Coturnix japonica: one gene and its partner. Each later gene encodes a partner of the first gene's protein in a complex. Links are inferred from orthologs where the notes say so. Each region holds a gene or a part of one and is shown on either strand. Other genes may lie near its edges.

Evidence for each region.
Region 2: the proteins of NCAPD3 (region 1) and NCAPG2 are in contact, whole or in part, in a cryo-EM structure (PDB 9F5W), measured with the Homo sapiens proteins. The link is inferred for Coturnix japonica from reciprocal best matches to the Homo sapiens genes NCAPD3 and NCAPG2. Residues at the interface, in NP_056076.1 of Homo sapiens: Glu1213, Lys1216, Ile1217, Pro1218, Leu1220, Gln1247, Ser1250, Glu1251, Tyr1254, Lys1258; in NP_001268861.1 of Homo sapiens: Phe291, Lys332, Pro333, Ile334, Trp336, Lys340, Ala341, Arg342, Arg347.

The regions. Positions count from the first base shown.
Region 1 is NC_029539.1:2,130,973-2,135,965, reverse strand, and holds part of NCAPD3 (condensin-2 complex subunit D3), read left to right. Parts: coding exon 1-168; intron 169-1,020; coding exon 1,021-1,083; intron 1,084-1,250; coding exon 1,251-1,334; intron 1,335-3,408; coding exon 3,409-3,482; intron 3,483-4,392; coding exon 4,393-4,527; intron 4,528-4,993.
Region 2 is NC_029517.1:8,480,465-8,485,457, reverse strand, and holds part of NCAPG2 (condensin-2 complex subunit G2), read left to right. Parts: intron 1-523; coding exon 524-623; intron 624-1,268; coding exon 1,269-1,453; intron 1,454-2,255; coding exon 2,256-2,399; intron 2,400-3,509; coding exon 3,510-3,613; intron 3,614-4,461; coding exon 4,462-4,559; intron 4,560-4,960; coding exon 4,961-4,993. UniProt on the Homo sapiens protein: Regulatory subunit of the condensin-2 complex, a complex which establishes mitotic chromosome architecture and is involved in physical rigidity of the chromatid axis.

The DNA.
Region 1 (4,993 bases):
TGGATCACCAGAAGTTTCTGAAGCACGAGTTCTTAGTGCAGGTCATGGTGCTTGGCCGCTGCTCAGACAGAGCACCTGTAGTTCGTAGCAAAGCTCTAAGCAGTTTTGCCCACTGTCTGGAAATGAAAGCTGCTGCTACTTTGGATAGCATACAGGACTTGTTACAGAGTAAGTACTGTCAGTAAACTTCATGGTTGAAGCATTACTTGAATTGTCTGGGGAATAATTGCTGGGACATAGTAGAACTGGTTGTCAGGATCTGTAACGCATGCTGTAGCAGAAGTGCTAAGTCAGGGCTTGAAACAGTGATGGAGCTGGTGGGAAGGCAGGGCTGACCCAGGGGAGCTGGGGTACATGCAATGCACCTGAGTGATTAGAAGGAGTTGAACCAGGTTCTACCCTTTCCCAGACCTTATTTAAAGGTTGGCAATGGAGGTGAGGGTATTTCTTGCTGGTGATCCCTGCCTACCTGAGGCCTTCCAAAGGTAAGCTGCTCTTTTCCTTTATTTCTGCATTTATGGCTGCTACATTTGGGCTTGTTCTTGTTTGCTGTAGCCAAAGACTTTGCCACCCTGCTGTTATCATCCCATTATAGCCTTACACCTGCACAGAGCACCTTTGGTAAGGGAGGTAATAGATGAGTCTTACTTGTAGCCTTACACTTGGAGGGTGGTTATTTTGCGTACATGCTCTAAATAGATTACTCCATGAGATACCTTTAACGGATGTATGAGAAGCTGAAATTGTACAATAAAAAAAAGTTAATTTTTGTCTGAGGGTTGATTAAATCCTGAGTTGCCTTTTGCTTCTGCTAAATTCGTATCTTCGTGATTGGCATTCTGAACTCCCTCGGGTTTGGTAGAGGCCAGATGGCACAGTTGAGAAGCGTGCACACATCATTGTGTGGTTGGATCACTTGCCTTAGGAGAAAAAAAAAGAAGCCAAACTAGAAATCAGAGTGACAGAACGTGCTGAATGGGAGCGATTCATTTAATTTCTGTTTTAATTTCTTTTTGGCAGGCTATGACCGTGCAGCCTTGGATGCAAACACAAACAGTGCCAGTTTGATGCTCAGTGAAGAAGGTGCGGAGTCATTCTCTTATGATAAGTCTCAGGCTTTTCTTGGCGTGCTGCTTTCTAAAAATATGTGTATCCATAAAACGTGGGACATGTGTGCAGCTCTCTATTTAATGGTGAATCACGTGGAGTGAATGTATGCTCAGTTCTTAAGCTTTTAACTTTTCTTCCAGCTACGTCCAACCATCCGCTGAAGACCTTACCAAGCTTCAAAACGATTGAGCTGACAAACAGCAGCAGTGCTGCCATGGTGAATGGTATGTCACAGTTACAGCAGCCTTTCAGATAGCTCTTCAGAACTTCGATTACAATTATGTTTTCTGAATCTTGTTCGCTGACCATTTCTCAAAGAGCAGAGAGATCTTTCTGGAGAGCTGTTAAAAAACACAGGTGGTGAAGGGGTGGAAGTGCTTGCTGTATGGAAATGCCATTTCCACTTAAATTTGGGAAATACATTTAATTGTGAAATGCTGGTGTTCATTTGTATTAATGTGGTAGCAATACTCATTGCAAAGCAGATAATTTATACTTTCCCAAAAGGATGCTAATTGATGTGGGATGCAGTACTTGTAGCTCCATAGATTTAAGGGTAATTAAACCTCTTGCTTCAGTGCACAAAGAATGGATGTATTTTTGCTGCATAAAACACAGCACCTTTGACTGGCACTGTTATGCAGGGAAGCATTTAATTCTCAGCAGCACCAGGTATTGGCTGATGTTAAAAGCAAAGTGGGAGGTTAAATGGACTGATTTGCAACGTCAGTGTGCTAGATCTGATTCCTTAATGGCATGAAATCAGCACAAAAGTTGGCTTTCGTGGCTGTGATATTTCATTGAATCTCTTCCTCTTCAATGTGGAGTCCTCACATTTAGGCCTCTGTCTGTGTCTTCGCTCTCAGTTGTTGCTATTCACCTCTCTTGAACTGCTGACAATTCAATTTACTGCTTAGCTCGCATCCTGCCTCTGTGTCTTTGTTACACTTCTCATGCTGCTCTTCATGTGGGATCCCTCCATATCTTCATGAACCAGGCTCCTATCTTCTCTATTGAAAGCTTTCTTTCAAAACATTTTGCTGATAAATTTCATTAATCTGCTCTCTAAGATAGAATATCCTCAGGCCACTGAAGGTATTGTGTATTCCCTGTTCAGTTGCAGGCTCTGTGTGGCAGAGGATGCCTGGTTTTGTTATCTGATACACCAGCTGAGCCGCTTGGCACTTGGCAAAACAAATTAAGCAAAGGATTGGATCAAAAAGGGCTGTCTGAGGCTCAAGAGGATAGCTAAAAAACAGGCTTCTCAGAGCCAGTCAAGGTGCATTAGCAAAGCTGTCTGGCACACACTTGTTTGGCTTCTGCCTGTGCTAATTTTGCACTTCTATGAAGACCAAACAGCTTGTCTTTTAGAAGCAAAATAAATCTTTGCTGAGGATATTCAGAACTTGCAAAATGCACAAGGGCAAAGATAAGACTGGTAGGGATAATCTGCAGGGTGAAGTATACTCTATAGAGTATGCAGTGCCTGTCAGCCTATAAACACTCTATTCCCTTGCTAGTTTCTCTTGCTAGTTCTCAGCCATTTAGATCTCAGGGCTTGTTTGTTTTTTTCCCTATGCCACTATGCATAGAAATCCATGACAGTTGGCCAAGGTTGATCACTTTAGCAGATTTGGTTACCTTTGCAATAGCAGCATGACTGTTCTCTTGGCAGTGTCTTGCAAAGAAAAGGTTGTGTGCTTTTTCTGTCAAGCTATTCTCAGGAGAAAGACTCAGTTGCAGTTACCTGCCTACTAAGAAAGCACTAGTCATGCAGATTGAAATCCCTTAGCTTCATTTGATTAAAAAAAGCCTACTTTTAGACCCTATATTTATTGGTTCCCAATGACTAATTGTTTCTCTTAATGGAAACATGGTAGATCTCCAGATGAATCTCTCAAAGTAACAGGTTTCTGTATTTGCAAGTTCAAAATGTCCTTAGGAAAACTTAATTTCCAGCTTTGAAGGCAGCCTGATACCTTTTATATACAGAAATAAAAGAACTGGGAGTTACAGATTATTCCTTTTTGCTCTGTGTATGAAATGATTTGGTATATCACCAGATTTTGTGTTATGTCCTATGATTTATTTTCAAGATAGAAGAACTTTGGGTTTTTCTTCCCCTTGTCAGAATGGCAGCTGCAAAGGAGAACCCACATTCTTTCAGTTAGTTGTTGTTGTGCTTTCAGCCCTCATCTCTTGCTCCTGAAAACCTTGGGCAACAAACTGAGCTCTGCAAAGCATACAGAGGAGGTCTGGGTGGGTGTTATAACTTCTTTTTATCCTGGGTTTGGATAGGAAAAGAAATCATGGCCCTGCTGAGGCTGAGAGCTGGAGATGAGAAAACCACTGTGAGGAAATCTGCTCTCCAGGTATGGTGTTCTTTGCATGATTTCTTGTTCTGCATGATTACACAGAATGCCATTGGAACAAATAATTGAGCTGTAGTACTGCAGTGAACTGTATGTAAGTTTGCCCAGCTGTAGCTTCTTGCTATTCCCACCGAGTGCATTCAGTCCTTAAAAAGGTCATTTTTGCTAGTTCTTGATAAGTAAATAATGCAAGGAAGAAATAACATTCTAGTACTCTTTTGCTGGCATTCACTTATTCCATCATTTAGAGAAAGAGCCTCTTTCCAAATGTCAATAGGTATTTAACTTAAGCGACTTCCTTACAAACTGGGGCATAAGAGGTGCTTTGTTTCTACCTTGTTAGCAAGAGTTTGGGCTATATCTGGCATCATTTTGAGGGATGCACTGCTTTTCTGCTTGCTTCATTTTAATTAATTAAGTCATGAACTTTGAAAGGTATCTTCTTCAATGTGAATTTCACTGTTTTATAGGATACGGATCTGTTGTTGACTGCCTTTCTCCCTGTTAGTCCTCTTTCCCTTAGTTCTTCCCCTCCAGGATAAATCAGGATGAGAACACCTCAGGTTAAGGGTTTCTGACTGTTTTGTTGTGAGGTTTTCAATTCTTTTCCCTCTTATTGGCAGGTGAAAGATGTAGGTCATAACAAGAGAAACATTGGCTTCAAGGGGGAGTTGTGGCATTGACTCAATGCAGAATTCTCTTATAAAATCTGAAGGACTGAGAAGTTCTCTTAGCATTCTGTATCAAGTTCTGCCCGGTACTTAGAAATTACTAATGTTATGTTTCCCTTTCATTGCGATACATTCTATTCCCTGTTGACTTAAATTAGGGATTGATCTATTTCTGATTAATTTCCCCATGCATCCTGGCTCGTATTCCCGATGAACTCATGCTGTTTTTTGACCTGCAGGTTTTTACAAACATCCTGAAGCACAAAGCAATCCCTTGCACTGCAGAAGATTTGTCCACTCTTCAGGACCGTTGCCGGGACCCCGCAGTCTCTGTGCGGAAACAGGCCTTGCAGTCTGTGACAGAACTCCTCGAGGTGAGGAAATGAACAACACCAATTCTTATGGCTGAAATGTTGGTTTAAGAGGATGAGGGCACAGCAAATCACTTATGACTGTGCTCTTTATTTGTTTTAATCATCTCTTGACTTGCAATCAGTGACTTGCACATACTTGCCATTTATGTGGGATGCTTTCAACTGCTGGAAATGCTTTTCTTTTCCCTGCCTGTTGGTTTTATGTGTCATGGAAGGGATGTTTATGTTGCTGTCCTTCTGAAATTTGAGAACCTGAATCATTTTGCTGTGATACAGCATGTTCATGATGCCACTGTAATGTTTTTCCTTCTCTTCTATTTATTCTCAAAGGTTTGGTAACTTAGTCATGGAGCATAAGGTTTGTATTAATCAAAACCCTCTTGTTTTAGTCTTAAATCATCTGCATTACAGTTTTATTGCAATACTCTCATAATTATTTATAGAGTTTCAAAACAAACTATTGCAT
Region 2 (4,993 bases), on another chromosome or scaffold:
TAGAATTCAATCTTACAGAAAGACAAGACACCAAATAAAGAATATGTACCAGAATTTCTAGAATGTGTTTGATCAATTTCCCAGGTCTGAACAGAAACCGAAAATGAATGTACTGATAAAAAATGAAATAGGTAGTTATCAACAACAGAACTGATATTCTGCATGATGAGTCAGTAATAATGTTCCTTGTTAGTAGGTACACAGAAGGCACGTGATTAGGTAATATATAAGCAAATTTTTAATTGTCTTCTGTTGTATTTCCCATATGTCTCACTTAACATAGTGCAGATTTTACCACTGAGCTGTGGGTCTTTTCAAATTCTAGTCAAGGGAAAGATTCGGACAAACTTTAATCACAGTCTGTGTCTTTGAATGGCCCAACTCATTGAAATGCTGGCTGATTAACAAAAGAGAATTAAATGATTCCTTGGATTTTATATTCTTATTGCTTCTCACTACTACTGAACTGTTGTTTTTTATAGTAATGTTTTTGTTCTGATTTATTTCTGCTTCTCTTTTCTAGGCCTATCTGTCAATCTGCAAAGATGTCATAATGGTTGGTCTTGGAAATGTCAAGTTTCAACTGCACTTTTTAGATATGGCACTTTCAGTAATACAAACAGGTACGAAATATAGTGCTAACATCAGCACCTTCACACACAATTAGGTGACATGTTTGTATATTGACAGAACTGTTGCTTTTTTGTTTTGTGGAATCTCTTTCTCAAAAAACAGTATTTATAGTTGATGCTAATATCATTCATATGGTGAGAAATAACAACAGCTTTTCAGCAAGTTGAAAACAAGCAGAGAAACTGTCCAGCATCTTATCATTGTTGGTGGCTGATGTTTTTTCCTTGCTGTTAAATTCCTGTTACATAATTGGTATGTCACACAGTAGTATATGTACATAAATATTTATGCACACTGATCTTATGTGTATCTAAGGAGACAAAACTGTAGTGCAGTTTAAATTTGGCTCACGTTTGGAAAGTTAAGTTGACAGCAGAGACAGAATTAAAGCTCAGTTCCTCCTCACAAAATAGAGTTTTATTCTGAATACATCAAGAAATTTTTTAAGGAACACTGGATTTATACTTAATTAAATACTATTTGAGATATATGAAAAGTAAAGCTGAAGGTGCTCAGAAACTAAATGCATCATCTAGGAAACTGTAGCTGTGTTTGTGGTATAGAAGTTTTGTTAAAAATTTGCATCTAAAGAATATCCCATTTCAGTGTGTATATTGCGGTATTTCTCTCTTTAGCCAGGGGTGCCTTTTGTACACCAATACTATTGTGTGCACTAAGAGAAATTACTGAAGCTTCTCTGACTCAGAGCACTGAGGTGGATGAAGTAGCAAATGTCCTCCATGCTGTTCAGACCATGTTCCAGAAGGTTTTAGAATGTGTTGCAAGCAGAATCAAGGAGCAGCCGGGAGATGGGATTCAGGTATTACTGTTAACATCGCTACCTTTATGTAGATGAATCCATGCTTGTACTCAAATGCAAAGTGATGTTACGCTTTGAGGTTGTTACTCCATTCATCTGATTTATATTATTAGTCACTTCTTCTAGTATTAATGTTTCCCCATCTCCAGTAGGTTCTTTAACCACTGTTGGTCTTGTGACAGAATTGCTAATAAACAAGAGAACAGTGTGTTATGTTGCCAGTGATGTACCCTATGAATGATCTACTGTACCAATTACCTACTCTAGCACTGTAGGTTAGGTCACAGGTTAGATACACTATTATTAACCTTCTTGTCAATGAAAATGGGCTTAATCCTGAGCAAGGGATTTGGTTATATATGTTCTGATCCTGAGAGAGATAAAAAACTATGGCTATTTCTGTTTGTTTCAGCATGAATTTCATCAGCTTCAACATGTGGATGATGTCCTGTAGTTCTTCAGACCATCCTATCTTCACAGAAAGTTTAGCTTCTTGCATTTCATAGCATAGAAGATAGTAGTAAGGTAGAAGGATCGCAGTGGAAGATATGACGATATGCTTATTAGGTCTTTTGAAATAAGGGCTTTTTTGGTTCAATCATTGCTTTGTTTGCTTTTGTCTGAAACTAGTGAGTAGAATTTTGACCTTTGTTACCGATTCGCCCTCCTGATGCCAAGTGAATGAGTACCACAGTGACTTTCAGGGTGTCATCTGCACTTCTTTGCAGACAGCGGTTTGTTGAAATATTTTCATCATTTTCATGTAATCTCAAGCAGCCAATCTGTTTCTCTTTGATTTCAGTTGATTCAGTCTATTCAAACGCCTCTTGGAGATTTCTTACACGCAGTCCAGTGCTGGCATTCATTTTGCCCAGCAGTTCACCAGAGTGTGTTCTCCACTCTCCTAGCTGCAGTACTGGCAGAGATCAAGTATGCGCTACAGGAGGTAAAGTTAATGCTGATTGCTTTTTAAAGGTTATATTGGAAGTAGAAAGCTGTGTTCAGGAAATGTGTTTTTCCTACCGCAGATGATGCTTTGTGTGTTATGGCGTGGAACAAATAGGATGTTTTATTTGCCATAATTTGATCTTAAAATGCATCTCTTGGATTTACAGACACATGTAAGATGCCTGTCTTGATACTTTGTTCAGTATCTGATTCTTGCAGAAAATTTTAGAAGTTAGGCAGTGTTGGGGGTAAACAACGTGGTCTTTTTTGAGAAGTTCTTTGTGTGTGTATTTGTACCGAGTCTGGCTTTGAAGGAGTTAATTTCTTTCATCGCAGCCCGTCTGCTGCTGTGGTTTGCGTTTGAGTTGAAAACAGCACTGGTGGTACACCAGCAATTTTGGCTGTTGTTAAACAGTGTTTGCACAGTGACAAACTCCCTCAGCCAAGACAGTTGACCCCGACTGACCACAGGCTCACCTCAGACCAGATAATGTGCTCAGCAATCAAAGTGCAGGGAAACAAGGAGGAAGAAGGATCATTTGTGGTCTTTCCAAGCAAGCATTATGCTCTCTGTCAGAGAGAGCCTCTTTCCAGCCTTGCTTTCCAGGAAGTGGCTTGATATGTGCCTATCATTGGCACAAAGGGAATTAATTTTGTATTTTGCTGTACAGGTATGTGCAGCTTTTATTCTAGTAAATCAAAACATGCGCTCTAAATACTTGCCATACTATTGAGAACTTCATACAAAAAGAGTTGGCCTGGGGAATCAGTGGCATCTAACTTTAAGAAATTGTGTTATATTCTTAAATATCCTTCGTGTCTTCAAGTTTATTTCTGTTCAGCATCCTGTGTGTTTATAAATAGTGACTGGTCATAGACTGGTACTCAGGCAGACTGTGGAGACTGTTTCCCGTGATGCTGTTTACGTGCTTCAGTTTTAGCCTAGATTTTATTTTTTGTTATTTTGGGCACTGCACAATTGATTTTAAGGTGTTCAAACTGTGCATGGGAATGCTGTTTAGGTCCTGTTTAGCGTTAACTACTGCAGTACAGATTTGCCTGGATATTTTCTGCATATATGTTAAGTTATTGACTGTTTCTTCTTTAGGCTTCCAGTGAAAAAGCTTTCACAATACCAAGGACAGTTTCAGACCTTCCACCTCTTTCAAGCAGCTTAATGGCAATCATTATGAAGTCTGTTAATGTGGTCAGGTAAATGTTTCTCCATTAAATTGTCCAAGGTTGCTAATAACACAGAATAGAACAGCTTTTGTGTATTCAATAACATTTTAATTTCTGAATTCAAATATGCTTTGAGAAACTGAAACTTCTTATTCAGTTCACCTGCATGATCGTAATCTTGGAGATATTGACTGCTGAGCTTTTTCTTAGTTTTAAATATCCAACAGTGCTTATTTACAAGACTGTTCACCTAACTGAGGTCTTTAATCAGACATCATTCCTTTTTAGATTCACAAGAAAGAATGGCTGTATAAAATTCAAAACCTTTTTCAAGTCCTGTACTTTGATAAAGGAGTTGTTCACTTTTTTTTTTAATTGGAAACACCTCAAATTAATTTTTATGACATACACATTTTAGAACAAAATGTTAATTAAACTCTGGGTTCCAATTAAGCTACAAGTAGAATTAGATTTAAAGGCCTGAGTTGTTACTGGCAATCCACCGGAGTCATATAATGTATTTTAAACTTCACTATGAATTGATTTTAGCAAGTTCACTATAAATTGTACAAATTGCATTCCAGTGGTTACAGTACTTTTTTCAGACTGTTCTTTCCAAAATATTCCACAAGCTCTTAATTTCTCAGACAAGCTACTTATTCTATGGGAAAACTTTCTTTTCTTCCCAAGCAATGTATGAACTCACACTCAAAGTCCCATAAGAAGCCTGTAGTTGTCCATCACCCCATAAGCACACATTTGCCCTATATGGTATCTTCAAAGCTATGGTGGTGGTGTAGTATAATCACAAGCTTGTTCTGTTCTGTTTTGAAATAAACATGATTTAGAAAGTATATTTACATTTTTTTTTCCCTTAGGTCATTTTTAAATGAATTACTGGAATGCATTCTATCTGAAGAAATTGAAGGGATTTTTAGTCTTACGTCTGTGGTATGCACTGTAATTGTAATTAAAGGTCAGTCAAACCCATTTTGTACCATATGTGTGTGTGTGTGTGTATATGTATATATATATATATATGTATATATTGCTGGTATAATATAAAAAGCCAATTCAGCAGGCACTAAGGCCTATCACTTGTACATGATGGTATTAAGGTTTGGACTTACAAGTTTTGTAGTGAGTTGGAAAATACGACTGCTCACTCATAGGGTCCATCTCTATATTTTGGTTTAGTGAAACACACATTAATTTAGGGCAGTAAAAATCTAGTCATATCTAATCTTTTATTAAAGTGCTGTGGGTTTTTTTGTCTTTTTAAAAGACACACTATGAAAATGTGCAAAAGGGTTTGGGTTTTTTTTTGGTGAAGTGTTATTTTTGTTCAGCGTTTTAACATAATCCTATTTCAAATAGGTAAGCACAAAACTTCACTTCTAAAAGATGTTG